3 linked regions of the Schizosaccharomyces pombe genome follow. Changing the gene in region 2 together with the main gene of any one other region gives a genetic interaction. Each region holds a gene or a part of one and is shown on either strand. Other genes may lie near its edges.

Evidence for each region. A genetic interaction does not mean that the proteins touch.
Region 1: of rev3 (region 2) and rev1, changing one enhances a phenotype caused by changing the other (phenotypic enhancement), as found in Schizosaccharomyces pombe (one study listed by BioGRID).
Region 3: mutations in rev3 (region 2) and mcm4 impair growth when combined (synthetic growth defect), as found in Schizosaccharomyces pombe (one study listed by BioGRID).

What each region holds. Positions count from the first base shown.
Region 1 is NC_003423.3:4,060,732-4,066,400, forward strand, and holds rev1 (deoxycytidyl transferase Rev1), read right to left. Parts: upstream 3,683-5,669; 5' UTR 3,428-3,682; coding exon 620-3,427; 3' UTR 501-619; downstream 1-500. Other genes in the region: GATOR2-SEACAT complex/COPII-coated vesicle component/nuclear pore outer ring WD repeat protein Sec13, read left to right, coding at 1-271; ani1 (FKBP-type peptidyl-prolyl cis-trans isomerase), read left to right, coding at 3,826-4,911; sporulation specific PIL domain protein Meu14, read left to right, coding at 5,563-5,644. UniProt on the Schizosaccharomyces pombe protein: Deoxycytidyl transferase involved in DNA repair. Transfers a dCMP residue from dCTP to the 3'-end of a DNA primer in a template-dependent reaction.
Region 2 is NC_003424.3:3,127,666-3,135,052, reverse strand, and holds rev3 (DNA polymerase zeta catalytic subunit Rev3), read right to left. Parts: upstream 5,265-7,387; 5' UTR 5,176-5,264; coding exon 733-5,175; 3' UTR 561-732; downstream 1-560. Other genes in the region: rim2 (mitochondrial pyrimidine nucleotide transporter), read right to left, coding at 6,273-7,191, 7,240-7,364. UniProt on the Schizosaccharomyces pombe protein: Nonessential DNA polymerase. Required for DNA damage induced mutagenesis. Involved in DNA repair, mitochondrial DNA repair and translesion synthesis. Has a role in the bypass of abasic (AP) sites.
Region 3 is NC_003421.2:898,528-903,925, forward strand, and holds mcm4 (MCM complex subunit Mcm4/Cdc21), read left to right. Parts: upstream 1-1,860; 5' UTR 1,861-1,874; coding exon 1,875-4,610; 3' UTR 4,611-4,898; downstream 4,899-5,398. Other genes in the region: 19S proteasome regulatory subunit rpn1302, read right to left, coding at 1-105, 216-300, 498-628; SPOM_SPCC24B10.02C (NAD/NADH kinase), read right to left, coding at 5,023-5,398. UniProt on the Schizosaccharomyces pombe protein: Acts as a component of the mcm2-7 complex (mcm complex) which is the putative replicative helicase essential for 'once per cell cycle' DNA replication initiation and elongation in eukaryotic cells.

The DNA.
Region 1 (5,669 bases), on a different chromosome or scaffold from region 2:
CAGAGACGTTGCTTGGGCTCCCAGTGTGGGCCTCACCAAAACTTATTTAGCTTCCGCCTCTCAAGATAAAAATGTTTTTATTTGGACTAAAGAAGGAGATGGTCCCTGGCAAAAAACCCCTCTTACCGAAGAAAAATTCCCTGACATCGCATGGCGTGTATCTTGGTCATTATCTGGCAATATATTGGCTGTTTCTTGCGGCGATAACAAGGTATATCTTTTTAAAGAATCACAAAATAAATGGCAGCTTCTCAATGAACTGAGCAACTGAAATTAATGAGTTCATCTTCTTTCGCTTCCAAACCTAATCACATTTTATGATGGTCGTAATGTGTTTTAACTTTCTATCTCAATAAGCATAATTCTTTTTTTTTTTGCAAAAGAAAAAATTTTTGTAGTGACTTATAGATTTCTTTGTCCTTTGCTCTCTTTAAAACAATAAAAACTGTGAGGTTACGCTTATCATTGACTGGTTTTAGTAGTTAAAAGAACTACAGTGGTTACATGTAAACAACATAATAGATACATTTGATTAAAGGTCATTATTAAAAAGCATAAACATATCTACTTAAGCGCAAAATCTTTCCCAAAATCCTTATTGAATTTGGAAAACAAAGCATTAAAAAATCATTAATGGAGGTATGTTTCTCTGCAAACATTCTCCTTGAACAGTTTCAATTATTTTGTCGATGGCTTTTTCCCAAGGCTTATTACATTCCTTTCTATTAAGTTGATACAGCCACTTTAGCATCATCTGTGCCTTTCCTAGGTTTTTTTCTTCTCGTATAACTCTACACACGTAATTTGCAAAATAATTCACATCATGAATATTAGGTCCTTTAGACGCTTTACTGTACCATTTTGTTAACAACCCTCGTAAATCCTCTAGCGATTGTACGTGTTGAAATGTGACAATATGAGGTTTCTCTAGCTTTACTTCAGAAATGAGGTCCGATTTTTGTAAATTGCTCTCTTTTAGGATTTGCTTCTGTAAGTCTTTTGGAAGTTCCTTTAGTGTTAAATAATCAACGTTAGGCTTGTTAATTGTTTTTGACTTCTTAGAAATTTGTAAAAGTTTATCAAATGCATTTTCTTGCCTTATTTTTTTCTTTCCTCGTTCATCTATTTTATTATCCGCGTGAGATTTTAATGACAAACGTTTGTTCATGGCAATCTCATGATTATCGTTTACTTCATTTCTTATAGGAGTAGGTAATTCAACCATAAACAAAGGATCTAACTGGCTTGGATATTCCGTAATACTTCGCTTTTGCAACCTCAATTGCTGCTGTATATCAGACTGCATCGAAGGTGGTAATTGAGCTAGAGCACTGGAACTGATTTGAGAAGATGACGGCAGATCATACGGTGTTGATGGAATAAGTTTTGGAGACAGCTGCTTCTTTTGACTAATTATTTCTTTATCTTTACTTGATATGTCAACAGATGCACCTTTTAGCGACACTTTATTTCGAGAAGTTATGCTCTGTATAGAGCGGTAATCTTTTCTAATTTTAGAGTTGTCTTTAATAATTTTGAGAGCTTGTAATCCTATACCACGTACATCTCCTGGATCGACATTAATTGTTTTATACATTGAGGTCACCTTCTTCCATATTAAGTCAAACGAATTAGTAGCAGAAGTAAAAGTTGAAGATTTTGTAAATGAAGTGACTTCCCCAGCTCCAAGGTACTTTGGTGGACTGAAAGGGGCTCCATCAGCCCTTTTCAAAATCCGAAGCTGAATTTGATGCAAAAGCACTTGGCATTTACCCATTCTGGAAAGCAACTCATGAAGCAACCGTTTTAAGAAATCTATCCCATCCTCTTGAAAAACGAAACGAACACCCCAATTAACATCTACGGATATGGACCTCCGTGGGGTTTCATTATTGATTATATCGGTATCAATTCCTCTGGAAATATTGTATAAATGCAGACCGTAATTTACCCCAAAAGTCTCTTGAAGATTGAATTTTTCAATTCTTTGCAGCTGCCCAATAGTACGCACACCGTACAAATTAAAAAGTTTCTGCGCTTGTGAAGAGCCCACCCCTGGTAAATCTTGAACAGACAAAGGACTCAATACATCAAAAACATTTTCTATTGACAAAGAATAAACGTTGTGAGGCTTCGCCTTCCTAAGTGCAAGTCTTGCTAAGAGAACATTTGGGCCAATACCAACGCTAACTTCGCAATTGGTTTTCTCGCGAACCTGCGAGCGGATAGACTCGGCAATCTCAAAGCAATCTTGAAAAGATGAAACACTAGAAGTTATATCTAGAAGAGCCTCGTCTATACTTATAACCTTAATATAGTCGTGAAGTGTATTAACAAGGATAGTGTAAAATTCTCTAGAAACAGATTCGTATGCTCCAAAATCATAATCAACAACCCGTAATGAAGGACACAGGTTTTTAGCTGTTCCAACGTACATACCATTTTTTATGCCAAACTTCCGAGCCTCATAATTACAACTAGCTATTTCGGAATTTTTTATACCATGAGCAACAGCAACGGGCTTCAGTCGTAGCTCATGAGAAAAGCGTGTTGAAACGGAAGCAAAAAAGCAATCAAAATCAACATGAAGAAGGAAACGAGATTTTTTTGATTTATCTTTCATAATTGGACGAACAGGTTCAGAAGCAGTAGTCATTGCTTGGATTTCATTTTTAAAATCAGCTTTCCAAGTACTTAAGTGATGTAAACGAGAGGAGCTAAAGAAATTCTCAAGAAAATCTTGATTTTGAGTGGTTGAATTTCGGACATTGGGATTTTTTAACAATTGATAGTTGTGCAGTGAAGACGCTGATAATCCACTCAAATCATCTAAAAATCCCTTTGCTTTACTCTCTTTTGTTTTATCTTTTTCATTATCATGTTCTTCTTCCTGCGAGCTTGTTTGAATATCTTCTAAGTTACCTTCGGGTTGGCTAGGTTTAGAGGCGACAAAAGAAAGGGTAGCTTGAGCCGATGAAGCTTGAAAGGTACGATAATTTATCCACGGAAGAATTTTCTTCTGTTTGATGCAATCCACTATCCATTCTGGTTTAACCACTTTCTGATGCTTCCATTGGCGAGCTTTGGAAGGAGTGAGAAATGAACACACCAAATATGATATGCTTGTTTTTCCATCAACATATTGTATAAAAGTACCTCCATTTGAAACTATCATTTGCCGTAATTCGGTATAAGACGGCTTTGTATATCCATTAATCGCTATTGCAAGTCCATGAAAGAGATCAGATTTAGAATCTTCATCAATACTTTTGTATAGAGCGGCATTTTGATTTTGAAGCTTTCTTTGTTTCCGGGAAAAATAATCTGCATAGTCGTGGAACCCAACACTTTCGTATGCCTCATCGTTTGCTTCGTCAAAGTCTGCAATCCCTACTGGGCGTCGACGCTTCCTTTGATTAAAAGCCATCCAGCGCGCTTCTCACTTTCAGTAAATATAAGTATTAATATGTTTCTGAAAGGAAAATAATACAAATAATAATGTAGCCACTTAAGCGGAAAAAGTGTAATTAATAAACAAACAATGTTTATAAAGAAAAACTAACTGCAAGAGCTTTTTTCTTTCATTATTTAACCTTATCCCAAAACTCGTGAAGCCAAACTATTTCAAAGTAAAAAACAACGAAATATCAAAAATAATTACTACGCGTTTGTTGTGATGCACGCTCGTCCAAATTTAATTAATTTTGAGTATAATTTGCAAATCGCGGTAATACGCACTACCCTTACTTAATGGAATACACAACGGTTTATGTATCAAAATTTTTTACATCCTCTACCACCTCACCTCTTAGGCAAGAATAAGTCATGTCTCTTCCAATTGCTGTTTATAGTCTTTCGGTAAAGGGAAAAGATGTTCCCGCTGTGGAGGAATCTACAGATGCATCTATTCATTTGACTATGGCATCCATTGATGCCGGCGAAAAGTCTAATAAACCAACTACTTTATTGGTGAAGGTTCGTCCCCGTATCCCCGTTGAAGATGAAGATGACGAAGAACTTGACGAACAAATGCAAGAGCTTCTGGAAGAAAGCCAGCGTGAATTTGTTTTATGTACTTTGAAGCCTGGTTCCTTATACCAACAGCCTTTAAATTTGACCATTACTCCTGGCGACGAAGTCTTCTTCAGTGCATCTGGCGATGCAACCATCCACTTGTCTGGTAACTTTTTGGTTGACGAAGAAGATGAGGAAGAGGAAGAATCTGACGAGGATTACGATTTGTCTCCTACTGAGGAGGATCTTGTCGAGACTGTCAGCGGTGATGAGGAAAGTGAAGAGGAATCTGAGTCGGAAGATAATTCAGCATCTGAGGAGGATGAATTGGATTCAGCTCCTGCTAAAAAGGCACAGGTTAAAAAAAAACGTACTAAGGATGAATCCGAGCAAGAAGAGGCTGCTTCTCCTAAGAAAAACAATACCAAGAAGCAAAAGGTTGAGGGTACCCCTGTTAAGGAAAAGAAGGTTGCATTTGCCGAAAAACTTGAACAAGGACCTACTGGTCCCGCTGCTAAGAAAGAAAAGCAACAAGCTTCTTCTAATGCACCTTCTAGTCCCAAGACTCGTACTTTAAAAGGAGGCGTGGTTGTAACTGATGTTAAAACTGGGAGCGGTGCGTCTGCTACCAATGGGAAAAAAGTTGAAATGAGATATATTGGGAAGCTCGAAAATGGAAAGGTTTTTGACAAAAACACTAAAGGTAAACCCTTTGCTTTTATCCTTGGTCGTGGTGAGGTTATTCGCGGGTGGGACGTCGGCGTTGCTGGAATGCAAGAAGGCGGTGAGCGTAAGATTACAATTCCTGCTCCCATGGCTTACGGCAACCAGAGCATTCCAGGAATTCCCAAGAATTCTACCTTAGTTTTTGAAGTCAAGCTTGTTCGCGTTCACTAAATTTTCATGTTGAAGATGAACATACTTTAACTCCCGTGTTTAAGAAGATCGCGGATTAAACTATGTATTCTATTAACTCTTTTTATCGCCTATCTTTTTCTTAGGTTTCAAAAAAAATCAGGGTATCATTTTGTATTTGAGTTAGGAAATTTTTTTTTAGTTAAGTGTTACAAACACTTTGGATATAGGACTTTTGGATGATTTGGATTGTTGGGTGATAAAGGAGATATAATCAATATACAATTTTTTAGAAAGAGCTGTTTGTATGTGTATGAGCATTAAGAGAAAAGAGAATAGCGCTTCCTTGATCGATACTAGTTAAGGATGTTTAAATTATGGAATTTTGAGTTTGAGTAAATATAAACGAGAACATTCCGAAAAACTCTATTAAAAGTAAAAAAAAACATATTGATAATAAAAGAGCCATTATCTGATTATCGCTAAATAAGTCTACAAACAGCTGTTTGTTTACGAAATTCTTAAAATTAATTATCGTAATAATCAACTTAAAAAAAAACAAGCAGTTTTAGAATTTAAAGAATTATTTTTATTATTTGTCTTTTTTCTATATTGTTTATTTGAAAATTGTGCTTCTGTTTACAGGCAAATCTTAAGGCGGGCATATATTTTTCTGAAACGTAAACAATCAACATGCCCAAATCAAGCAACTTGAAAATGCAGAGAAAAGGCTCTTTAAGAGAAAACGGTCTCGTGAAGGGTTTAAATAAAAATAGTAAGATATAAATTGGTGTGATAAA
Region 2 (7,387 bases):
ATACAAATATCGTAGTGCTATGTACAAGATTGTCTTCTGTCCGTTCTTACTATAGAAATTGGTTCTGTTTCAAAACTACGACATCCGTGTCCCGTACGAATTTTGATAATTACGAAGTAATTTGTCTCGCAAATATCAGCTACGTATTTCGGTATCTATTTTAACGATACTTAAAAACAGTATTGAATCTTCCTTGTGATTGTTATATTGCAATACGAGGTAATATAAGTAGCAATTGATGTAAGTATTCTAATACACATTATCTGTTACTTATCACTAACGTAGCTAAAAACCGATTCCCGTCCTCACTTCAGTTTATCTCAATATATAGTGTTAAGAATTTGAATGTAGTAAGTGATAGTTACTTTATCATAATTAGTAACCGTACCTTGATAACTTATCATGTCAAGTTGATAAATCAAAACAGTGCACTTGACATATAGTGACACGCGACGTAAAGTATCACAGCGTAGTATTGCGGACAGTAAAAAGTAAATAAAGAATTGCTACGCACCCTAGAATACGAAGAGGTTTACTAAATTTTAACTAAAAAAAAAAAATCCAATAACATGATGATATTAATATTTTTAGTTATCGATATAACCTTCTAAAAAAAATAAATAATTGTAATAAATAATACGTAGATGAATAAACTAGCAGGTGATAAGAGAACAAATGCCTGATGTATTTTAATTTCAAGTCCTTCACACCAATATTTGAAGTTATAATGATTTACCAGTCTAAAGAACCAAGAGTCTTCGTTAACATTTCTGCCTGTACTTTCGCATAATTCTCAGTTTTCGCCCTATCATAGTACACCTTACAGCTATTTGACTTGCAAAGAACTGGATCACTAGATGAAAGCTTACTGCAGCCTCGACAAATATCAAATAGCAAGGAAAGTTTTTTGTTATAAGCATTGTGCTGCGTAACAGCTTTAGAAATAGTAGCACAAGGATTTTTTAAGCAATCACTGCAGAGGGAGTTAATTTTATCAGGAATAATTTCAATATTATTCTTCAAGCAAGAAGAGCAAAGCTTCTCCATCAGAAAAGTGTCCAAAGTCTTTTTTTGAATACCTCCTTTCACTGTTTCAGTCAATTTTAAACTGGTACGTGGTTTGGGCATTTCATGATACCATGACTGGGCACTAGCCCCTAACAAGTTTAGAAATCGATCTAATGGAGGTATCAAACTATTGTTGATATAATAATTTATATCAAGTTGAGAAAAACTCGAAGACAGAAATTCTTCGGGTGCAACTGAGCGGTTCGCCAAGGTGGTACCAGGAGCAGCAGCGATAATCAAATATGGAACACGTTCTCCATATTGAGGTTCCCTCCTAGGATCTTTGGTCATCAACCGTCTAGCCATAACTGCTCCAGGAGGAGCAGTACTTAATTCTTTATATTTTTCTAGACGAACTTCTTTTGAAAAACAAAAATCCATAACAGGAACGTTTCCACTCATAATTTGATAACATACGTTCTGAAATTCTTTTTTGACCGTTGACAAATCCTTTGTCTTAAAAAGTATTTCAAGGCAACGACGAAGGAGCTGCTGTTGAACAGGAGTACCATCCCTTCGAACTGTCTCAATGCCTTTCGCTTCAAAAATTGGAGCTTTTTGACTAACTGATTCAAATTTGAACCCTACATATCTTTTTTTCGCTAACAAGAAACAAGGAAAGTAAATTTTTTCAAATTTAAGTCGAATTGGAGAAGGAAATCTGGAAGTAATGTTGTTTGCTAGCTGCTGTCCGATGTCGAAAGCTTGCTCTTTAGTCGCTCCAGGTAATTCAACAAATAAGCTATCGGTATCACCATAAACGACCTTTGCATGACAAAAATCTAAAGTATTTATGTATTCTAGTGAATAGCTAAGTATCTCACGTCCTGTTTCCACAATAGTATCTGCGATTTCTGAACACGGCATTCTTCCTGAAAATGACGCTGAAGTATATCCGTAAGTTACGTTTGCAATCAATTTTAGGGCCAGTTGCCGACTATTCAATACTTTGTTGACATAGTCCGAGTCACAATCTTTCATGCCTCTTTTCACCATATTTCTGGTTTCAATAAGTTCCTCTAGCATTTTAGCGAGCAAAGACTTTCTAACATTCTCTTTAACGTATGCATAACCATTAGGGGAGATATATACATCATTTTTTATTAAATTCACAATGTTTGGATTGCTTGAATGAAACATAAATCCAAGCTTAACTTTTCCATTGACTATTTTCACAGGTCCAAGACATGTGGAATAACAAAGATTATATGCAATTATAATAGAGGGGTATAGTGACTGAAAATCTAGTACAACTACCGGATTATTGTATAAATCAGACTTCGGCTCCATAACAAGAGGTAACGCTTCTAAAGCATTTTGCTCAGCAACTTGCTTAGCGCTAGGTGATGGAAATATGTAATTTTCAGGCTTTGCAATTCGAAACATAATAGATTCAACTTTAAACTGGGACCCCCTAGAAATTACTGACATGAAGTCAATTCCGATAATTCTTGCTTGTTCACGAATTTTAGTGACAATGGCACAGGCTGATAATATTTCCAAACAATATCTAGTCCTGTTTAACATATAATTTAAAAGGATTTGCTTCTCATGAAAACGAGAGCTCTGCCAAAGATGCACTTTATCAGCTTGATTATAATAAGGGGTCTGCTTTTTAAAAATGTTAAGAACAACATTTTCGAGGGAATAGTTAAGTAAATTAACTTCACCACGGAGAATTCTCCATATATTCAAAACATGCCGGCCCACAATATTGATGGATGAAGTAGTTGTATATTTCCATGCATTCTCTTTCTTTGCAAAATTTGCTTTCGAAGTGCACTTAAGTCGGGACAATTGTTCAGGCAAGTCATAATTAAATCGATAAGATGCTCGTTCTATTAAATAACCCCATGAGCTATTATGAACTTCGTAACCACATACGATGGTCGGATCAAGCTGGCGATTTAATCCTATAACTTCATTAATAAGTTCAAGTTCGGAATTTACAACTAAAACGGTGCAGCTTGGAAAACTTCGCCCAAAAGAAGAGTTCGACGCAGATTTGTCGACCACAATAAAACCAACTCTGTCAATCATACTGCTGTTTACATCTTCTTGATATGCCCAGAAACAACACTCTATAGAGTCTTTAGTGGGATCTGGGGTCAATCCCCCATGGCTACAGCAAAACAATTCAAGCGCTAAGATGCGCACACATGAATAAGGATCTTTTCTAAAAACCTTACTTCTGGATAACCTTTGTGGGCTTTGTATTTCCTCTGAAACGGCTTCTTTCGATTCAAGATTTGATAAATCTACAGCAAGTGGTGCAGGTTTTATATATTGCCACGTCCGTTCTCCGTGAAAATTACTAAGCTTAAGTGGATTTAGTCGAACTTTTTCGCTTACCGATCCATCTGATTGAAATTCTGGCAAATATCTAGAAGAAACACCGATCGGATAATGAGATTTTCCTAAATATTCTTGGGAGTAAGAGGGAATGTCCTTCTCCGAACTATAGTGAACATTTGTCGGTATTGAAAATGGGATTTTCAATTTTTTCATAGTCCCATAAAGATCATCCGTCGAAGGAGGTTGTTGTTTGTAAACAAAAGATTCATGTTGAGATAAGAATTTTGGGGAGTAGTCTTCAGGAATTTGAGTACAAATATGATAATCATCAAGATTTCTAGAATATTTTAGTCTCTTTCCTGCTTTTCTAGTATCCCCTTGATTCGGTTCAGAGCTGGTGGGACGATTCGGCAGATCTCGACAAAATTCAATTTCCCTTTTAGTTATGGGTGAACCCCCTTTTAATCTAAGGCTGGGGGAAAATGGATTTATTTGAGAAGGTACATCTTTTAAGGGCGAAGAGGGAGGTGATTGTCTATCTTGTGAAGAGTGAATGGTAACTTCTTGAGAAGAATTAAGAGGACTTTTGGGAAATTTAGATCTATCAACATTGGGTTCTACATAAGGAAATGAATCAAAAAGTGTATCTCCCAATATACGCTCGAGCTCAGAGTCCAGTTGTTCAAAAGAAGATTCTATGACGGGTGCAGTGTTTTGTTCAAGTTGAATCTTTGGCAGGCTTTCATAAGAAGTACAGATTTTCTCATCTACAGATATTTGAGAAACTGAAATATCATTTTGGGATGGGCGTACGTAATCTTTGGTGTGGATTGCAGAATAAATGGTAGGCAGCTCAGGCCACGGATCAAAGATGAGTGGAGTATTGACATCGGAAGAAGATTCTAATTTACTTTTGATCAAGTTTTTTAACAGATCTTTCATGGCAACTTCATTTTTCCAGTGCTGGGAACTTCGCGGTTCATGGCTACTCTCTTCTTTGAGACCGAACTGACTTTGGTGCAATTTAGAAAAACTATTAGTCTCATCGCTACTGGTTAAATTCCTCCGAGAAGCTTCCGATTTCCAAATTTCAGCTAAACTAGTTACCAATAGTGAATTTGGACTTGAAGCATGAGTTTCATATAAATCAGTATGGATATTACGTTCACTCAACCAGCAGGCATTGAGAATAGCATTTGGAGACACGTGAACCTCGACGTTACAAAAACTCAAGAGATCGTCTCTCTTTATAATGGAGTCATCTAAATCTATTGGAGCACAACCATATAGATTATGATCGACCATAAATTGTAGTAAGTAAGGAAGATGGGATTCGTAAACTTGAATAACTTTGTTTAATATAGCACCTTGCCTGAATAAATCGACTAGTCTATCTCTGTTTTTCGGACTAAAAAGACAGATCTTTAAGAATTTCTGAAAACAGAAGGAGTACCCATAAAACGGAATTCCCTTCACAAGCTGAACGCTTTGTACAGCAGGTTTGTAAGTTTCTGGATTTGCTCTTGCCGCTAATGCTAAAGCATAATTAATTGATGTTTGTAATTGGCTTAAAAAATCTGGAACTTCAAGATCTAACGTTTCTGCAAAACTAGAGTATTCGACATAAATATATGGGAAAACGTTGTGGATAAAGCAGCAAACAGTTTCTGCTTCTTCATTCAATCCAAAAACTCGAATAACTGGAACAGTGGTTAACTCTTCATTTGCAGTCGGCAAATCTTTCCCTACGAAATCATAAGCTGGATCACAAGGACTTAATTCCCAATCTATATACTCGATTGAAAATCGCATTCAATGCTTTTTTTATAGTAAAATTTCATATGATAGTTTTTATCACGGCTGAGAGAAAATGTCGGTTTTCACATAGTATGGCAAATGTTGTTCAGTGTTGATTAGATCAACCTCTACACCCTAAACAGTGCCACTACTGTAAGAATCAATATGTGAAATATAAGAGTTAAATTGACCAAGAATAATAAGACTAATTTTTATATATAAATACTTACTTAATTCCGTTTAAAATAGATGAATTACTGCACTCATTATTCTAACGAATAGTTAATCTACAGGAGTTCCTCAACTATAGCAAAAGGGATATATGCAGAATTTATAATGATTTTGTTAGGAAACGACAATAGTTTAGATCTTAAAATCATATTATTGAACCTCAAACGAACTTTTTGAATGATTCATATCAAATTTGTACAAAATGTTGATATATGGCTACATTTGCTGTAAATGAATAACTTGAAACTTAGTTAATACAAATTTTTTTTGAATCCAAAATAATATTAAAATGTCAATAATATTATTGTTTTAATGGCAAATCAACGCACCGACCATTTAGATTTGAATTGTTATGAAAAAAGAAAGGGGTAAAGCTATTTAGTCCGCTCGTTTAGAACCATCATTCACAACAAGTTTTTTAACGTACACCTTCAATAAGCTTTGTTATGGGCCGTAATTTGTATCAAAATGCAGAGTAAAGATAACAAAGAGAGATTTAACCACTCATTCAAAATTTTTCAAAACCATTTGAGACAAATACTTACCTTTAACTAATAAAGAAGTAAAAATAGTCAACTTCATTACTTAATTTAAGTTTTAGCATGTTAAAGAAAAATTGACAAAAGATCATAAATACAATTTCTGAAAATCATTAATTGAAACGCAATTTTGGTTAAAAAAATAGGAGTCCAAAGTTTTTGCATTTAACATTCATATAAGTCTTTTAAGCATAACCGTACGAATGGAAAATTGTTCATGTGCATTATTATATAAAAAATAATGGAAAGGTGATGATTATCCTCTTTTGCTATAGGTTCCTCACTTCTCCAAGCTGGTAATTTTAGTAGATCCGTTTTATAGTCAACATGCCATTGGAAAACCTAGCCAATGAAGTGCATTATTACTTCGTAACTTCCAAAAAGAATGCAAGCATTAGGAACTACTCGTAGTAAATGTGCAGTCAAACCTCCGTACAGTCCAACAATCCCTTGTTCCATCCAAACTAATTTAAAGCATTGTATGAGTCCAGTGTATTTAGGAGTACCATTTATAGATGGACTTTGTCGTAAACGTGTTCGAACAACTTCATGTGGATATGCAATGCCGGCTGCCATAAATTTAGCAATTCCAGCTCCTCCAAGCTTCCCACCCCAATCTAAAACTTTGTCATAAATAGTTTCTTGAATACCAAGTTCTTTTCGACGAAGTTGTCGAATAGCGACAGCGTGCTTGAATTTTTCGTATAGAACCCACTGGAGAGTACTTTCACCGACTCCTAGTAAACTGGCAGATAAACCTTTATATAATCCTCGGAATCCTTCAAGCCTTATTGTTTTTATGATGCAATCAATCGAAGAACGATACTGAGCAGCTTGTCCACTTTTTTTATCTAATTGTAATCGTGTTTTTACTAACCATATTGGATTAGTCGCAGCAGAAGTAATTACACCTGCAATTGCAGCAGCCATTAGATGTATTTGAGAGTTCTCTTGACCATTATTAAAGAGATCAGCCAATATACGCTTGCCATTGCCATATGAAAAAAAGTTAATTGACCGTGCAGGAATTGTTCCTATTAAATTAGGACCTAAGCCACGAAATAGTGCTCTTGTTCCTTCATGAACTTTTACATTTTTTAATATTATACATGTATCCATAAAATGCCTATATGCAGCCGTCAATGGACTTTTCGATTTCGCCGTTTGCTTCAAAAATCTGTCTTTGTAAAAGTCAGACTGCAACCTCGTCTTCACTACGTCCAAAGGTGCTGTTGCAATCGCTCCTAACATTCCTGCAACTCTAAAGAATATTAGAAAGACATTTCCCGTAAATTTACAAATCACTTACCCACCCGCTATAAAATGCGACAAAGGCGGTGGAGCACGTTCGTTACTGGCATTATTTGCTTTTGTTAATAAAACTTTTGTTTTTTGTGAGTTTTCAGAGGGTTTAATCTCTGAATTTGACAGCATGTCCAAACTCCTAATTTTTGGCT
Region 3 (5,398 bases), on a different chromosome or scaffold from region 2:
AAAATGAATCTGCGAAGAGGATTTAAATTTTAGTGCATATACGCGTCCCGTGGTACATTCATCAATTTTGATAAACTCTGCTTCTTCTGGAAATATGATGTAGTCCTTCATTATATGTTAGTAAACATAAACCAAATTAAAAAAAAAAAAACGCAAAAGTAAATTTATATATATAAATAGGTATACTTTGCAATTGATTTAAATTGTCTTCATACATCTTCTACTTCTCTAGAAACCCTGGCCCTTTCTTTCCAATAGAAATGCAATAATTCATCAGAAGCCATTTGCATATAGATAACTCTAAACAAATGTCAGTATTAAAAATCAGATCTTTTAACTTTATAAACAGAAAACAATTCCACAAAACCCAACAGTGTGGATTTTCACGCATCCTTCCAACGTAAACATGCAAAGAAGCTTCATAAACAATTCTTTGGGTAGAATTTCGTTTTCCCAGTAGAAAGGACTACTATCTATATTATTATTATAGTACATACCCTTTTCGGTGATCAGCTTGCAGAATATTCGTTCCTGGCTTTCTTTGAAGTTTTCCAGCTTTTACGGAGACTAATCCATACTTTCCTCTCTCGCTAGTCTCGTTTCTTACTCTTCCAAAAACTGATTCCATTTGTAATTTATTTTTTGTCAACTCAAAAGCTCACGATTATTGACCTTGTGAATTGTTGTGGTATAGTTGAGTATGCAGTGTACACAGTGCAAGTGAGCAAAGTAATCCACACAAACGTATCATGTCTATAGACATGATTTCTCAAAATCATTTAATTTTCTAATTGTCGCCACTATAATCATCTTTTATCATGTAATAGACAATCTTTTTAGGTGGTTAACTGCTCTAATATTTGAAGCTGATTTATCAAGCCGCATTTGATGGTTTCGCCTAAAAAGATGTTTTAATAGCAAATTAATACTACACTTTAAAAGGAAAAGGAACGTTCCACTATGCAGTGGAATTCATCTCTTAAAGGGCCTTGAAAAGACATAAGCCAATTTTTGTATCATCGTTAATGGCATCAATAGTAAAACAGAATAAACCAGTTTTCACCAATTATACATAGAAGAAAATCAAGATACAATAAATGTCTATAATCCTTTCAGGTTTTGAAGAGCAAAACATAATCGAGAAAAAGTATGCGTCCTACACAATGGTATTTCACTAGAAATAATAGAAAAATACATTCATACACTATTTGAAATTCACACCATATAACTCATAATATACAGACTTAAGTTTTTTTTATTAGAGACAGTCCAGTAGTCGAATGGTCAAATGAACTCTACAAATGGTTAATATAATAACAACTCAGGTATTCAATATGAGAGAAAATTCAAAATAAACCTTATTTTAAGAAATATTATTAGTAAAATTACTAAATCACCATCTGCCCTCTTCAATTAGCGTCAAATCACAGTTAATAGATTCGACCTTCAAATACAACTGGTAGTTCCAAATTGCAAAAACGATCATCTCAAAATGTTAAACTAGCATAACGTTTAATTAAAGCAATGTAATCCTTTATTTCAACATTCTTTTCATATTTCTCTTCATTCGTCCAAAAAAATAGAATATCACTTAAAAGGAAGTAAGTCAATAACAAATTCATAATACCTTATTTATGATAACAAATTTGCTTTAATTGATCCTAATATCTAGTGTCGCAAAGTTTTTTAGTTTACATTTTCATAGTCAATTACTGGTAGCTTGATGATCAATGGAGAATATGACAAATTGTTAAAAAATTATACAAATTTCCAATTATTTAAATCTTTGCTATGCTATTTATCTCTTCATTGTTGTATGTTTATGAGTAGTTACTCTACTCCCTTACACTGTCTTTCTACACCCACCACGAGTCATGTCCTCTAGTCAGCAAAGTGGCAGAGCCAATGAGTTGAGGACTCCTGGAAGAGCTAACAGCTCTTCAAGAGAAGCAGTGGATTCTTCTCCGTTATTTTTTCCTGCTTCGTCTCCTGGTTCTACACGCCTTACAACACCGAGGACTACAGCGCGTACACCTCTCGCTTCCTCTCCTTTACTGTTTGAATCTAGTTCACCAGGTCCAAACATTCCTCAGAGTTCACGTTCTCATCTTTTATCTCAGCGTAATGACTTGTTCCTTGACAGTAGTTCGCAGAGAACACCGCGCTCGACAAGACGTGGAGACATCCATTCTAGCGTGCAAATGTCTACCCCATCTCGTCGAAGAGAAGTTGACCCTCAACGTCCCGGGGTAAGCACTCCTAGTAGCTTGTTGTTTTCTGGGTCAGATGCACTCACGTTTAGTCAGGCGCACCCAAGCAGTGAAGTAGCTGATGACACTGTCCGTGTCATTTGGGGAACAAATGTATCTATTCAAGAAAGTATCGCTTCCTTTCGTGGATTTCTACGTGGGTTTAAGAAAAAGTATCGACCTGAATACAGAAATGAACTTATGCCACCTCCTGATGCCGAACAACTAGTGTATATTGAAGCGCTACGAAACATGCGTATTATGGGTTTGGAAATATTAAATCTTGATGTTCAGGATTTAAAGCATTATCCCCCAACCAAGAAGCTATATCACCAGCTTTACTCATACCCTCAAGAAATCATTCCTATCATGGATCAAACCATTAAAGACGTTATGCTAGACTTGTTAGGAACTAATCCTCCCGAAGATGTTCTTAATGACATTGAGCTTAAAATTTACAAAATTCGTCCTTTTAATCTTGAAAAATGCATTAATATGCGTGATCTTAATCCTGGTGACATTGACAAATTGATCTCTATTAAAGGTCTGGTACTTAGGTGTACACCTGTAATACCCGACATGAAGCAAGCATTTTTTCGATGTTCAGTTTGTGGTCATTGTGTTACCGTGGAAATCGATAGAGGGCGAATTGCTGAGCCCATAAAATGCCCTAGAGAAGTCTGTGGTGCTACAAATGCAATGCAGCTAATTCATAATCGTTCTGAATTCGCCGATAAGCAAGTTATTAAACTCCAAGAGACACCTGACGTGGTACCGGATGGCCAAACCCCACACTCTGTAAGTCTGTGCGTATATGATGAACTGGTTGACTCTGCTAGAGCAGGAGATCGTATAGAAGTCACTGGGATTTTTCGCTGTGTACCAGTTCGTTTGAACCCTCGCATGCGTACTGTAAAATCATTATTTAAAACTTATGTCGACGTTGTTCACATAAAAAAGCAGGACAAACGTCGTTTGGGTACGGATCCTTCTACGTTGGAAAGCGATATTGCTGAAGATGCTGCTTTACAAATTGATGAAGTACGGAAAATATCAGACGAAGAAGTGGAAAAAATTCAACAAGTTTCAAAGCGGGACGATATATACGATATTCTTTCCCGGTCTCTGGCACCTAGCATTTACGAAATGGATGATGTTAAAAAGGGGCTTTTGCTACAGCTATTTGGTGGAACGAACAAGTCTTTTCATAAAGGCGCAAGTCCGAGATATCGTGGAGACATAAATATCTTGATGTGTGGTGATCCATCTACGTCTAAGTCTCAAATTTTGAAGTATGTCCATAAGATAGCACCCAGAGGTGTTTACACTAGTGGCAAGGGTTCATCTGCTGTTGGTTTAACTGCCTATATTACTCGTGACCAAGACACGAAGCAACTAGTCTTGGAAAGTGGTGCTTTGGTACTGTCAGATGGGGGCATTTGCTGCATTGATGAGTTTGACAAAATGTCCGATGCTACACGTTCTATTCTTCATGAAGTTATGGAGCAGCAAACCGTTACAGTTGCCAAGGCTGGCATTATTACTACTTTGAACGCTAGGACTTCTATTTTAGCTAGTGCAAATCCAATTGGAAGCAAATACAATCCAGACTTGCCTGTCACCAAAAATATTGATCTTCCGCCTACTCTCTTATCTAGATTTGATTTGGTGTATTTAATATTAGACCGCGTGGATGAAACGCTGGATAGGAAGCTCGCAAATCATATTGTTTCTATGTACATGGAAGATACTCCTGAACATGCTACAGATATGGAGGTCTTTAGTGTGGAATTTTTGACAAGCTATATCACATATGCTAGAAATAATATTAATCCTGTCATTAGTGAAGAGGCAGCAAAGGAACTAGTGAATGCTTATGTTGGTATGCGAAAGCTTGGGGAGGATGTGCGAGCATCTGAGAAAAGAATTACTGCTACAACAAGACAACTGGAATCAATGATTCGTCTATCTGAGGCCCATGCGAAAATGCATCTTCGCAACGTTGTTGAGGTAGGAGATGTTCTTGAAGCTGCTCGCTTGATTAAGACCGCTATTAAGGATTATGCAACTGATCCTGCAACAGGAAAGATTTCTCTTGACCTAATTTATGTTAATGAAAGAGAGACTTTGGTACCTGAAGATATGGTCAAAGAACTGGCGAATTTAATTTCAAATTTAACTGTGGGTGGAAAAACTATGTTGGTCAGTCAATTGTTAACTCGGTTTCGTGAGCAGAGTTCTACTCGCTTAGATGCTTCTGATTTCGAAGCTTGTCTGGGTGCTTTGGAAAGGCGAGGACGTATTAAGGTTATTACCAGTGCTGGACATCGCATTGTACGTTCAATTGCACAGACTGATTAATTTTTTAGCGAATAAGCTGGTATTATTCATGAGCCATAAACCATAGGTCGTTGTTGAAAATCAAAGACTACAGAGCATAATACGAATGTCTTTCTTGTTATATATACACACGTTCTTTTTGTTATAAAAATATTTTACATATTTATCGAGGGATCCTTAACATTCATTTTTCTTTTTTTTTTCGGCTTTTGAGTATGAACTGAACAATGAGTAAACATTATGAATATAAATTCGTTAATACCAAAGTTGAAATAATAATAATAATAATAATTAACATAAACTTTCAAAAAACTAACAGATATCTAAACAATCGTAACCAATAATTCGCCATGATTCGTAGAGGCAGTGTGTGCCTAATTTTAAGTATTTTCAACAGTAGTCAGATGTCATTAAAAGAAAAATGGATAGCAATTTAACCATCAATGTCTGCAGAAAATTCTCTGCAATAGGAATTATCTGTAATATCAAATTTATCGTCACTTGTATCCTTAACATCACTCAAGCTTGGTTTTCTAGAAAAGGGCTTTTGACGCTCACGCACATTCCAATTGAATTTATCTTCTAATACCTTGGTCCATTGGTATCCTGGATTTTGAATGGTTGTGAAAGGGTAATGAGACGTAACAATTGATAAATAGTCGCCTCTATGCATCTCCACAGATTCATGACGGTCAACGGAAAAGAATGCACTACTTCGAGAATCCAAAGGGATCTCAACGTTCAAAACATTGTAATCTGGTAAAATAATAGGACGGAAAGAAAGCGTATGAGGACAAACTGGTGTTACT